Linked DNA regions of Drosophila melanogaster. The protein of the gene in region 1 interacts with the protein of each later gene in a biochemical or structural test. Each region holds a gene or a part of one and is shown on either strand. Other genes may lie near its edges. The genes, in order: side-II and beat-VI.

What was found.
Region 2: the proteins of side-II (region 1) and beat-VI form a complex in vitro, tested with the Drosophila melanogaster proteins (one study listed by BioGRID).

Annotation. Positions count from the first base shown.
Region 1 is NT_033779.5:14,969,122-14,974,211, reverse strand, and holds the start of side-II (sidestep II), read left to right. Parts: upstream 1-1,911; 5' UTR 1,912-2,669; intron 2,670-5,090.
Region 2 is NT_033777.3:28,416,074-28,421,265, reverse strand, and holds the start of beat-VI (beaten path VI), read right to left. Parts: upstream 3,059-5,192; 5' UTR 2,399-3,058; intron 1-2,398.

The DNA.
Region 1 (5,090 bases):
ATAAAATAAAATACAATCGAGTTGCATTCGTGGGAGAGTAAGATAAATTCTCTTGGCAGCTGTGCTAACGAGCAGCCCCGGGGAAAGCATAAAATGGTGGAATGAAGGGGGTTTTTTGGGGGGGGGGGGGTTTAAGAGTAGTTATTGGGGGTGGGTTATAGACTTTTTGTCAAGGCAACAAGCAAACAAGTATTTGCTGAGTAATGCCAACGCTTTTATTTCACGCGAGCGGAAAACGCGAAGAGATTGAGATTCCTCTGCAACTTGGCCATGTCCTTTGCCTTTTGCTTAATACAAATGAAAATGGATGAGCTACTAAGCGTTGTCTTTGCTGCACTTGCAATTGTTGCATTCGAACGTTGCATTGCATTGCATTGACTGAACTGAACTGAACTGAACTGAATAAAATGAAATGAAAATGTTGCAACAAGCTAACACAACAACCAAGCCCGGACCGGCCCCGCCCCAATCCGCCTCATCTTTAGGAATTTCCCACCCAATTTTCCACCACTGGGAATGCACTTTGTTTCTATGACACGCCGTTGTCCCCTGCCTCTCGATTCACTTTCTTGCTGCGCATGTGTTTTGTCTTTGTTTTTATGCCATTTATTTATTTAAGTCAATTTCGTAGAGTGTGTTTGAACATTTCGCTGCAATTCATTTTCGGGTTTTATTTTCTGTCTGTCTCCTTCGCTTGCCATTTTTTACGCGTCTTGTATGAGTTTGTACGTATCTTGACGACAATTTTTACTCTGAGTGATTGCAGTTAAAAGCGATGCGACGAAGGTTGATAAAACTCTGGTGGAAGGAGGCCATGGCGCAAGAGGATGAGGTAACTCTGTAGTTAATTAGCTGGTAGTCCCTAGTTTTGATTGGATTTGATCTGTAATTGGTGACAGATGGAAAGGTAAAAGCTACAGTAAAAAAATCAAAATCAAATCTCGCTTTTCCTTTCAACTATTTGACAGAGTTCAATTATTCAGTATTCGCTTTGCTTTTTGATAGCTATTAATTCCTTGAAATATTTCCTCTTTACCTTGTTATTATTTAACTATCTTATTAATTTTAATTTCAGCATTATGTTAGTTCAACAACTTTTTTAAATTGAAAGAAGGCAACATTTTACACAATGTTCAACATTTTACACTACAAATTTACATAGTGGGTGGAGTCCAAGCTTAGCCAAGCATTGAACCACTTTTATACCAAAACTGAGGAAAGTATAAGAGTTTTACTCTTTGCTTTTTGCTCTGTGATTATTCGTTTTGAAACTTTGAATTCTGCTACTGCATGAAATTCTCATGTTTTCTTATCTCCAATTTTTAAATCTCACAATTACCGATCAAAATATAGGCGATTGATAATAGAGACAATAAGTACACTTATTATAGATAAAATATTTTACCTTATTGCATATTTCGGAAAAGGTTTTATTTAAAACTTACTAAAGTAAGTTAGTAATAAAGTAAATAGAGTGAACAGTAGATAAAAATAATAAATATTATTTCCATAGCTTATGTTGGTGAAAATAATATATAATTTTTTGAGCTTGCTTACAAGGCATTTTGTTATTTATTTATATCTGTGCTAAGGATATGAATCTCTTTTTAAGTGAGTTGAAAAAGATTAGCAAAAGCGTTTGATTGCATTTTTAATAATTTAATTTTGTTAACACAGAGAGCGAGCAGTTCATTCATTGCGTTCTCTTTACTCAGCTGCCTTGCGAGATGCTCGTGAGTTTCGCGCTCGTGTTATCCTTTGCTGCGCTCGGCTCTTATCCTGCAGCTCGGATCGGGCTCGTTCTCGGCGTTCGGCTACCGAGAAGCGGAGCTTCGGGCGGCCGACTTCCGGCGGGGGACGGTGGGGTCTGTGGGGCTTGTGGGGCTTATGGGGCTCTGAGTTGGCCAGGCCGATTCAGTTGAAGCTCAGCCGTCGGACTGTTTTGAACGTGGTTTTGCAGGGATGCTGACGCTCGCTGCGGCAGCCATCGAATTAGCGAAGTTATCGGGTCTCGTCCTGCACACACACTCACACCCACCCACAAACGCTGAGAATCGGGTGCGCTGTTTCGCGAATAAATATAATTCTCGTACCGCCAGAAAGGACCAATTATCGAAATCAATAAGAGCTAATTAGAATATACCTGCGCCAATTTGGTTAGGGTTTTGAACTGCATTGAGGTTTGCGTGCTGTTGGTTTTCCGAATAATAAAGGCAAATAAAATCATGCGACTCACTCAGCGAGCAGCTGATATTGTTGCACACACAAAAGGCTACACTACGGCTCCTCTTAGGCGATTTAATTGCCCTGTTCTCGTTTCGGGCATACATTAAAACCAGCAACTAAGTATTTGCAAGTGGCCCAGTGTCTTCGTTGTGTGTGTGTGTGTGTCTGTGTCCGTGTTGTTGTTGTTCGTGTGACCCGGTGTGTATATTCTCGTTACCGTGTGTTTGTTTGTGTTTTGATGGTCACGTGGTCAGTTCAAAGTTGGCTTGGCCCACTGCCTTCTTGTGCGTGACAAAAGTCAAGCAACAGTAGCAACAATAATATTAGCAACAAAAGCAGCAACAGAAGCAACAGCAGCAGCAGCACCACCACCACCAAACACAAATAGCAACAACTGCAATAAAGGATTATCCTGCGTGGGACAAATTTAAATTGCTCGCCAGGTAAGTTGGACGAGCTCACTTTTTGCTCTTTAAGAGTGACTTTTTGCCCAAAAGTTTACTAACTAAAGTTGAAATTGCCAACCGCCCTCGCAGTTGCTGCAGTTAGAGAAAAACGTCTCAGATAAATTAAGCTTCTGGTAACTTTCTAATTAATTAAGTGAGTTTGCCATGTTACATAATTCTTTTTACGTTCTTTTTTCAAGTGGTAAATGTATAATTAAAACAGAAATTATGTCTCGTTATAAAATTGTTCGTCTGGTTGGACTGATATAGTTAACAGTGACTGTGAGAAAACTAAAATAATTAGAAGTAAAATTAGCCTTTTTTATCTTTTTTTAATTTATATATTTTTCAAAAAATGTTGTAAGGTTTTGGTTATTTGCTACTGCAGATATGGCTGGGATTTTTTCAGTGTTGAAGCTGTGGAATTCGCGGTTTAAGCTCTTGTCTCGATGCGCCAGTTTTTCACTTTTGCCGCCCCTTCACTTTTCCCTCGTCGCTAGCAACTTATATTCCCCCGTGATACCCCTCTTTTCCGCTACGCCACTGGGTCGATTGCCGTAACTTAAAATGCGCCAACTGACTGCCAGAAAGTTGCCTAAAACTTTTTGCCTAAAGTTTATTTACTTGTTTTTTTTTTCCGTCTTGCTCATATTTTTTATTTCCATTCCTTTGTCTAGCAATGCAAAATAAAGTAGTGGTATAAAATGTATAAAAAGACTTTCCAAAAGATAAGTAAATGCTTCTGGTAATTTCTTGTAGAAATAAAATATCAACACTTTTTACCAATATTTGAATTTCACTTTGCAGAATAATTCATATGTAAATTTAATGTTGTTTTATTAAATAAAATAAAATGTTTATTTGGCTTTAAAGAAATAATGGAATGACTTCAAAAGTTTCAAGCCTCAGAACTTTCTTAATGTACTCTAGTAATGTGTAATTTAAACAGTGCTCGTTAAAAATGAGTGTTACAATTATGTCAAGATAATAAATAAAAATTAATTTTAATTAGATATTTCATTATATTTTCTGTCAAATAACGGAACACTGCCAAGAAGGGCAGTCACTGTCTTGGCCCTAAAGTTGCAGTTCCTCGAGCTCGGGCCAACTAAAGTTGTGAGCAGCCCACCTGAAGAGGACCCAAATTTCATGCCTTTCGCCTGTTTATTAAATTTGCATGCCGTCTTTCATTAGAGAAAAGTGACAACGTCAGGCCTTTCGCTTCACTCCTGTTCCAAGACGAAGTACTTGCTTACATTTGCTGCTTAGTTTCGGAGAAAATAAATAAATTAGTTCAGTAAATGGAAGTGAAAGAGTGAGAAATTACAAACTTCTGGCAAAGTTAATATTTAAGTCTTGCAGTGATTTTACGAATTTCCCTCTCGTTTTTGGACAATTAAAATATGCAAATGAGCCACCAGCAGAGCCAATGCAAAGCGTCTAAATGGACACGCACGGCTAACCCAAAAAACGGAGATAACGGTGAAGGGGTGTGCGTTTTTGACCGAAGCTCTGGTTGTCCTCTGCCACAGGCAGATACAAATGCCGAGATACAAATGTAGAGATACAAGTGCGTAGGCTGAATTTTTGATTGGCTATGCTGGCGTACTGTCCCCCTTAAAACATTTTTGACAATTTCGAAAAGCTTAATGGCTAATTGAGCTGCCAAGGGAGTGGGAAATGAAAAAGCCAGAGTGGAATGTCGCCTGCATTTGTTGGAGTACAAATTTATGGCGAAAAGTCAATTACGTGCAATGGGTCCAACGAAAATAGGAGAGGGGAAAAGATACATTTCCCAAAGGGATAAGCAGTTAGGGGTTAGTTTACATGCATATATATATAAATATTTGTATATATGGCTTATCAGGAGTACGTATAACATTATCCACGAGTGTGTGCTTACTTCAAAAAGGCATTAAGCCGAAACGTATAAACAAAAGTTAAGCATACCCAACCAAACTTCACCGTTGACGGGTTAATGTGATTTTAATGTACTTTTTACCCTCCCACTCCTTCAAACCCACCGCAGTTTTGCTTACAACTCAGTTAAAGTTTTATGCAATTTCATCATTCTTTTTTAATGCGTGCATTAAGAAAGTTTTTCTTTGCCTTTTGCACTAATGCAAATTGAAATGTAAATCTTCATTTGCCCTGAGTTTTGTTCTGTTGAATTTCGGTATTTCAAGCAAGCAAAAATTTTAAATTGAGCTATGGTACAAATGTCTTGAAAATTTTATTTTACTTTTTTGTTGTATTAAAATAAAGATATTTTAGAATATAGCCTCAAAATTAGTTTATTGCATTTTAAGTTTCAACGTAAACAAATTATGAGTTATTCGCAAAGAGTATAACTAGCAAACCAGCTCATGTAAGGAAAACATAATGAACAATTCCGGAAATTCCACTTCGCTTAGTAAG
Region 2 (5,192 bases), on another chromosome or scaffold:
AGCAAAACGGAGTTGAAATAATGTAGTAAATTTAAGGATGCAAAGAAAAATGTAATATCCGAGAACATTATGGCCCCGAATTTGTTGGCCGTATGTGTGCGGTTTGGAATCTAATTTCGTTCTGGAATAGTAACATTCACTAAAGTGCATTTTATACTCTTTTCTATGTACATCTCTATTTATATCAAATAACCTACAAATTTTGCAATGTAGCAAACAGCAAATGGAATACATTTACATTTATCTTATTTTCATTTCGATATTTTCGCTGAAATTCTGTCAATGTTTACTATTAAATTTTATTTCTGATGTGGTATTAAAATATAATTTGACCATGTCATTTTATTTTAATAAAGAGAGTATTACTTTTATATATCATCTTAAAGTCCGCAGATATTAGCTTTCAGTTTAATTTATTTTACTCCATTTGCCACCTGTCTGCAATTTCTTCAGCTGATCCCCCGTTCGATTTTTCTACCTAGTGCTGCCAACATTCTGCCATCTAAGCCATCCTCTTGGCCCGAGCTGAAATAACCGTTTCAACTTTGACTTTGGTGCTCGAACACGATTCCTATATGGGTTTGGTGCTCTCAATCTGACAATCGCATTGGAAATGCGTGTGCGCCACGCTTTAATGCGAAATTCTGATTGCGCTCGAATGGCTTCATTTATTTTCGCCACCAAACGACCAGCAAACAAAATAAAAAAAAACAAGAAAAATTCAACAAGAAAACAAGCAAAAACGGCAAAGAAGAAAGCTGCGAAAAAAGCGCAAAGGAAAAACAAACCCGACAGTTGTACATAATATTTCACTTATGCATGTGCGCCCCCTCAGAGCCTGTGAGCAAAGTGAAATGAATGAACGAATAAACGAACGAATGAATGAGTGGCATGCGTAGCGCTAGGAAATTTGTTATAGCAATTTGAACTGTCAACAGAAAACCGAAAAAGTAAATTAAGAAACATTTGAAATTTAATTCACTTGCCAAGCCGAGTCCTTCCGGTGACTATTGCCCCTATGGGGCACACATAAGTGTATACTCGCTGCGGCTGCAGTACGTGTGTGTGTGTGTGTGTGTTTGGGTGTGAGCATGAGAGTGTGTGTGTGCTCGCATTAGAGCGTAGAGCTCGTGAGTGGCAGCATCATAGTCGCAGAGCATACCTGTCTGCCAGGTGACACCTCCGCCACTTGAGTAACGTAACACAGCAACGCCGGGAACAACTGACAGACCCAAAACACACATTTAACTCAGGAGCTCCAGCAACAGCACTGTGAAAAAAACTCGGGACATTCTACAAGACACACGAGAGTGACTTAAGAATGCAGAAGTTTGGCGCTTTAATTGCTGTTTAGATATTTGGTACACCCCAAACTAAAGATATGAAATATCTCTGAGCTTAATCTCATTAGTATTTCGGAATATTAATAATTGATTTTTATGTTATTTGAAATTTATGAGAAGTTTAGTTTTACCATTTTTAAATAGCCACATGTTACATACATCTTTCGGTTTTAAAGCTTGTTATTTTCCCTGTGCACAAACATTTGGAGACCTGCAAAATTAGGCGAGTGTCACGAATTTAAAATAACTTTTAATTCATTCTTGATGAACATATGCAAACGTTGTTGCCCCAGCCCGAGTGGCACACGGCGTATGAGTGCGGCTGGGAAAGAGCCCCCCCGTGCGAATGCGAACGGGAATGTGTGCGTGAGTGTGTGGTTGCCACGCCTCTCGAGTGCCACATAACTCGGGTTGAGCATAAACAACCGCACTCGCATAAATGTTCGTTAAACTCAACCCAACTGAGACAGAAATGCGGAGCCGAGAGCTCTATAGCTCCCCCTTTTGCCACCCACCTGGGCTACATAATTATTTAGTTTCCAGTTGGACGGGAGCCGTGCACACACATCTCGTACTCGTACTTGGGCAAATAGATGGGGGGATTCCCTGTCTTCGATTGTCATAAATCAACAAGGACCTACACGGCCCAGGATCGGTTGATGGGCCTACAAGGGGGCCATGGACCGGGCTGTCAACCGATTGTTGGCCGTTGGCATATGCTCGCTCCGCTGACCAAATGCCCAAGGCCTCTGACAGGTGCAAGTTTGAGCGACCCACTTAACGGAAAAATTCAAATTTCTGTTTGCACTTGCCGAACTTTCCAGTTCACTTGCCAGGGGAAATAAGCGAAAAGGTATATCCGGTACAGCTGATATAGCTGGTATAGCTGGCATTGCTGGTGGCAAAGTGAAAAGTTAGCGTAAATTATGCGCCAACGTGCGCGGCCCCAATAAAAATAGAAAGAAAAATTGGGAAAACAAGAACCCAGCGCAGAGAAAACAAAGAGCAGTGGCAGTGCATTGAACTGGTACCTTTGTATAGGATGTGATACGAACCTTATGGGAATGTTTCTGCTCTCACTACCACGTTGGCGGTAGTTGTTGTGGTTGCTGCTCCTTTCAAAGGATCCTGCCTGCCTGCCTACCAGCCAGCCAGCCGGTTTATGCTTTCTAATCCACGCACGTTTCGCTTTTAATATTTATTTTGCGCTTTTTCACACTTTGCACACTGAGACACACTCTCACTCACTCAGACATCAAAGGATAATCGGGCAGGTGGAGGATTCTCTGGTCTGGAGGTCTGCAGGGGTTCTTCTTCCGCTGATTATCGATGAACCCCACGCTCCGTTGATGCGGATGACGGAATTTGGATTACGGCTTGGTTACTGCTTTCGTTATGCACTGCGGGCGGCGCGCACAGTTCATCAATGCAAATTGCAAATTGCCAATGGAACCACGGAGCCGCGTTATCGGCGGGTTATCAGTGCCCACTAGCGGTGGGCATTTGGATTTCGGTCTCTTGTTTATATAATTTAAATACGTTTATGTTTCGTCTGCGAAATTTTCCAACTACTTATGGAACATTCGCATGGATATATATGTGCTGCACTCGGGCGGTGGACAAATGTTATTTAATTATTGTTGTTGTTTACTTTTGGGCGAAGGCAGCTTTTTCCCAGTGGGAGCGCTATAAACACCGTTACACTAACCGACCCGCACGAAGGACCTTTTTCAACTGATTCGCACTCGAAGTCGCGGCGGAACGAGGCAGCTCGACAAGCCGATGTTCTGTTTTCGGTTGACGGGCCAGAAAGCCGAGCTCGCATCCTGTCGGCTGTGTGTGGATCGCGAGCGCTTCGGCATTTTGTGGATCAAAACGATTGGGAAAAGGACCACAGGACCCTTTTGTGGATGCTGTGTGCCAAGTCCAAAGCGTTCCGCCTGATAAGAGGCTGCAACGCGTTTTTTCGCCCCGCGCGCATTGACAACAATTTATTTTTTGCACGTTACTCGCATTTAAATGTTTTTGCTTATTGTCTTCCGTCTCTCTCTCTCTCTCGCTGGAAATTTGTGTGTGTGTGCGCACTTTTTTAATCACTTAAAAATGTATGTGCCTTTTTTCGACACGTGCGTGTCAAAATGCTACCAAAGGGTTAAACGTCAAAAGAAATAAACAAGCGGCGGAATGGGTAAGAGGGCTAGAGGAAGACACACGCTGGCTGGCAATTTGTTGCCAAGTTTATTACAGTGACAAACAGGCCAGGTCCGAACGAACTGCACGCGCTAAAGACGTCACGCAGCGATATGCAATGCCAAAGTTAATGGCTATAATCCCGAACGAGTTGGACAAGTCAGGCGGAGGAGCCGTTTCTTTTTACGAGTGCGTAATAAGAAAGCCGGAGACGTGCCAACAGGACGTGATGGCACAAAAATCAGATGGAGGCTGGCTACACTCTACACCGGCTCTACTGGAGTTTTTAAATTTAAGCACGCAACCCATCCTAATCCCGACCAAATTAAAAACACTATCGTCCTCATCGTCGCCAAAAGAGAGAGCGGAACCGGAAATGAGAGAGAGCTAGAGAGAGAGAAGGAAGGAATGAGAGCGCTTGTTGGCCGGGCTAAGAGTCTCGTACTGACTAGGTTAGTAGGCCAGCCAACTTAAGCCAGCAATTAAATTCGAGCCCAGCTTGCAGGCTGCATATCGACTCGCAGGATGCCAGGATCCAAGGTGTTATCCTGCCATGCGTGTGCATTGCACTTGAACGGCTGCTTTAAAGGTGTGCCTTTGCCATTTGACACTCTCTTGAGCCCGGGAACTAAAGCTACAGACTTTGCTAAGTATTTTTCAATTAAAACGTTGGCGAAACTTGCACGCATGATAAGCACAAAAGTTTTTCATTGTCAGCGCCTAAAAGCATGCTACACAATGACAGCCCGGAAACTTTCGCCTTCCCGCATCGCAGGACCAAACCCGAAACCAGACAAGTCTCGACGGGCGCGCATCAATCTCTCGGGCCCCCATAGCATAACATAATGTTGATACAAGTATTCTTGCCACTTCCGATTCGCCTCTTTTTGTGCGACTGCCAGCGACACATATTTAAATCAGGATCGGGTGACTCGAATCGGCTTCCGGACGCTTAGGCTCTTGAAAAATTAACTTGGCCGCCAACTGGCGCCACTAAATAAGCACGATTCTGACTTTTAAAAAGATAGAGTGCACTAAGAAAATGTTTATGGTCCTAATAGCTATTAAATTTTAGGCTGCGTCCCTTCAACTCTGGGAATATAAAAGTTTATCCGAGAATTTAAAAGAAATGCTATACTTTTTGAGAAGGAAAATTAATTCAGTAAAACGCTGGAGTGGGCTAAACTAAATCTACATGTGTAAAACGACGCTGCATACAAACATTAAGAGTAAAAAAAAATAATTTCTTCGAATTTATACGTATGACCATAGAAACGCGTGTTTCCAGGGAATTTGAGGGACATTAACGCCGGCTTTTCTTCGAGTGTCGCTTTTGAAAAGCTTCTAATCTAAGTGCTATGGAATCATCAGCGATGTGTCGGCGACATGTGGGCAGGGATTGGGTGTCCTGGGGGATATTGGAGTGCGAAGTGACCCTGCCCAGCATTAAACTGGACAAAGCTGTGCCTGTTGCTGTCCTGCGTTCAGTATGCCTTTGCGTTTGGGCCTGCCTTTGCCGCCTGTCCCGTTTTCCTTGATGTGGATGAGGATGTGGCTGTGAGTGTGGATGTGGATGTGGATGTTTCTGTCTGCTGACATGAGCTGCAAAGTGCGGCACGTGTTGGCGTAACAATTTGGCAGGACCAAAATAGCAACAGC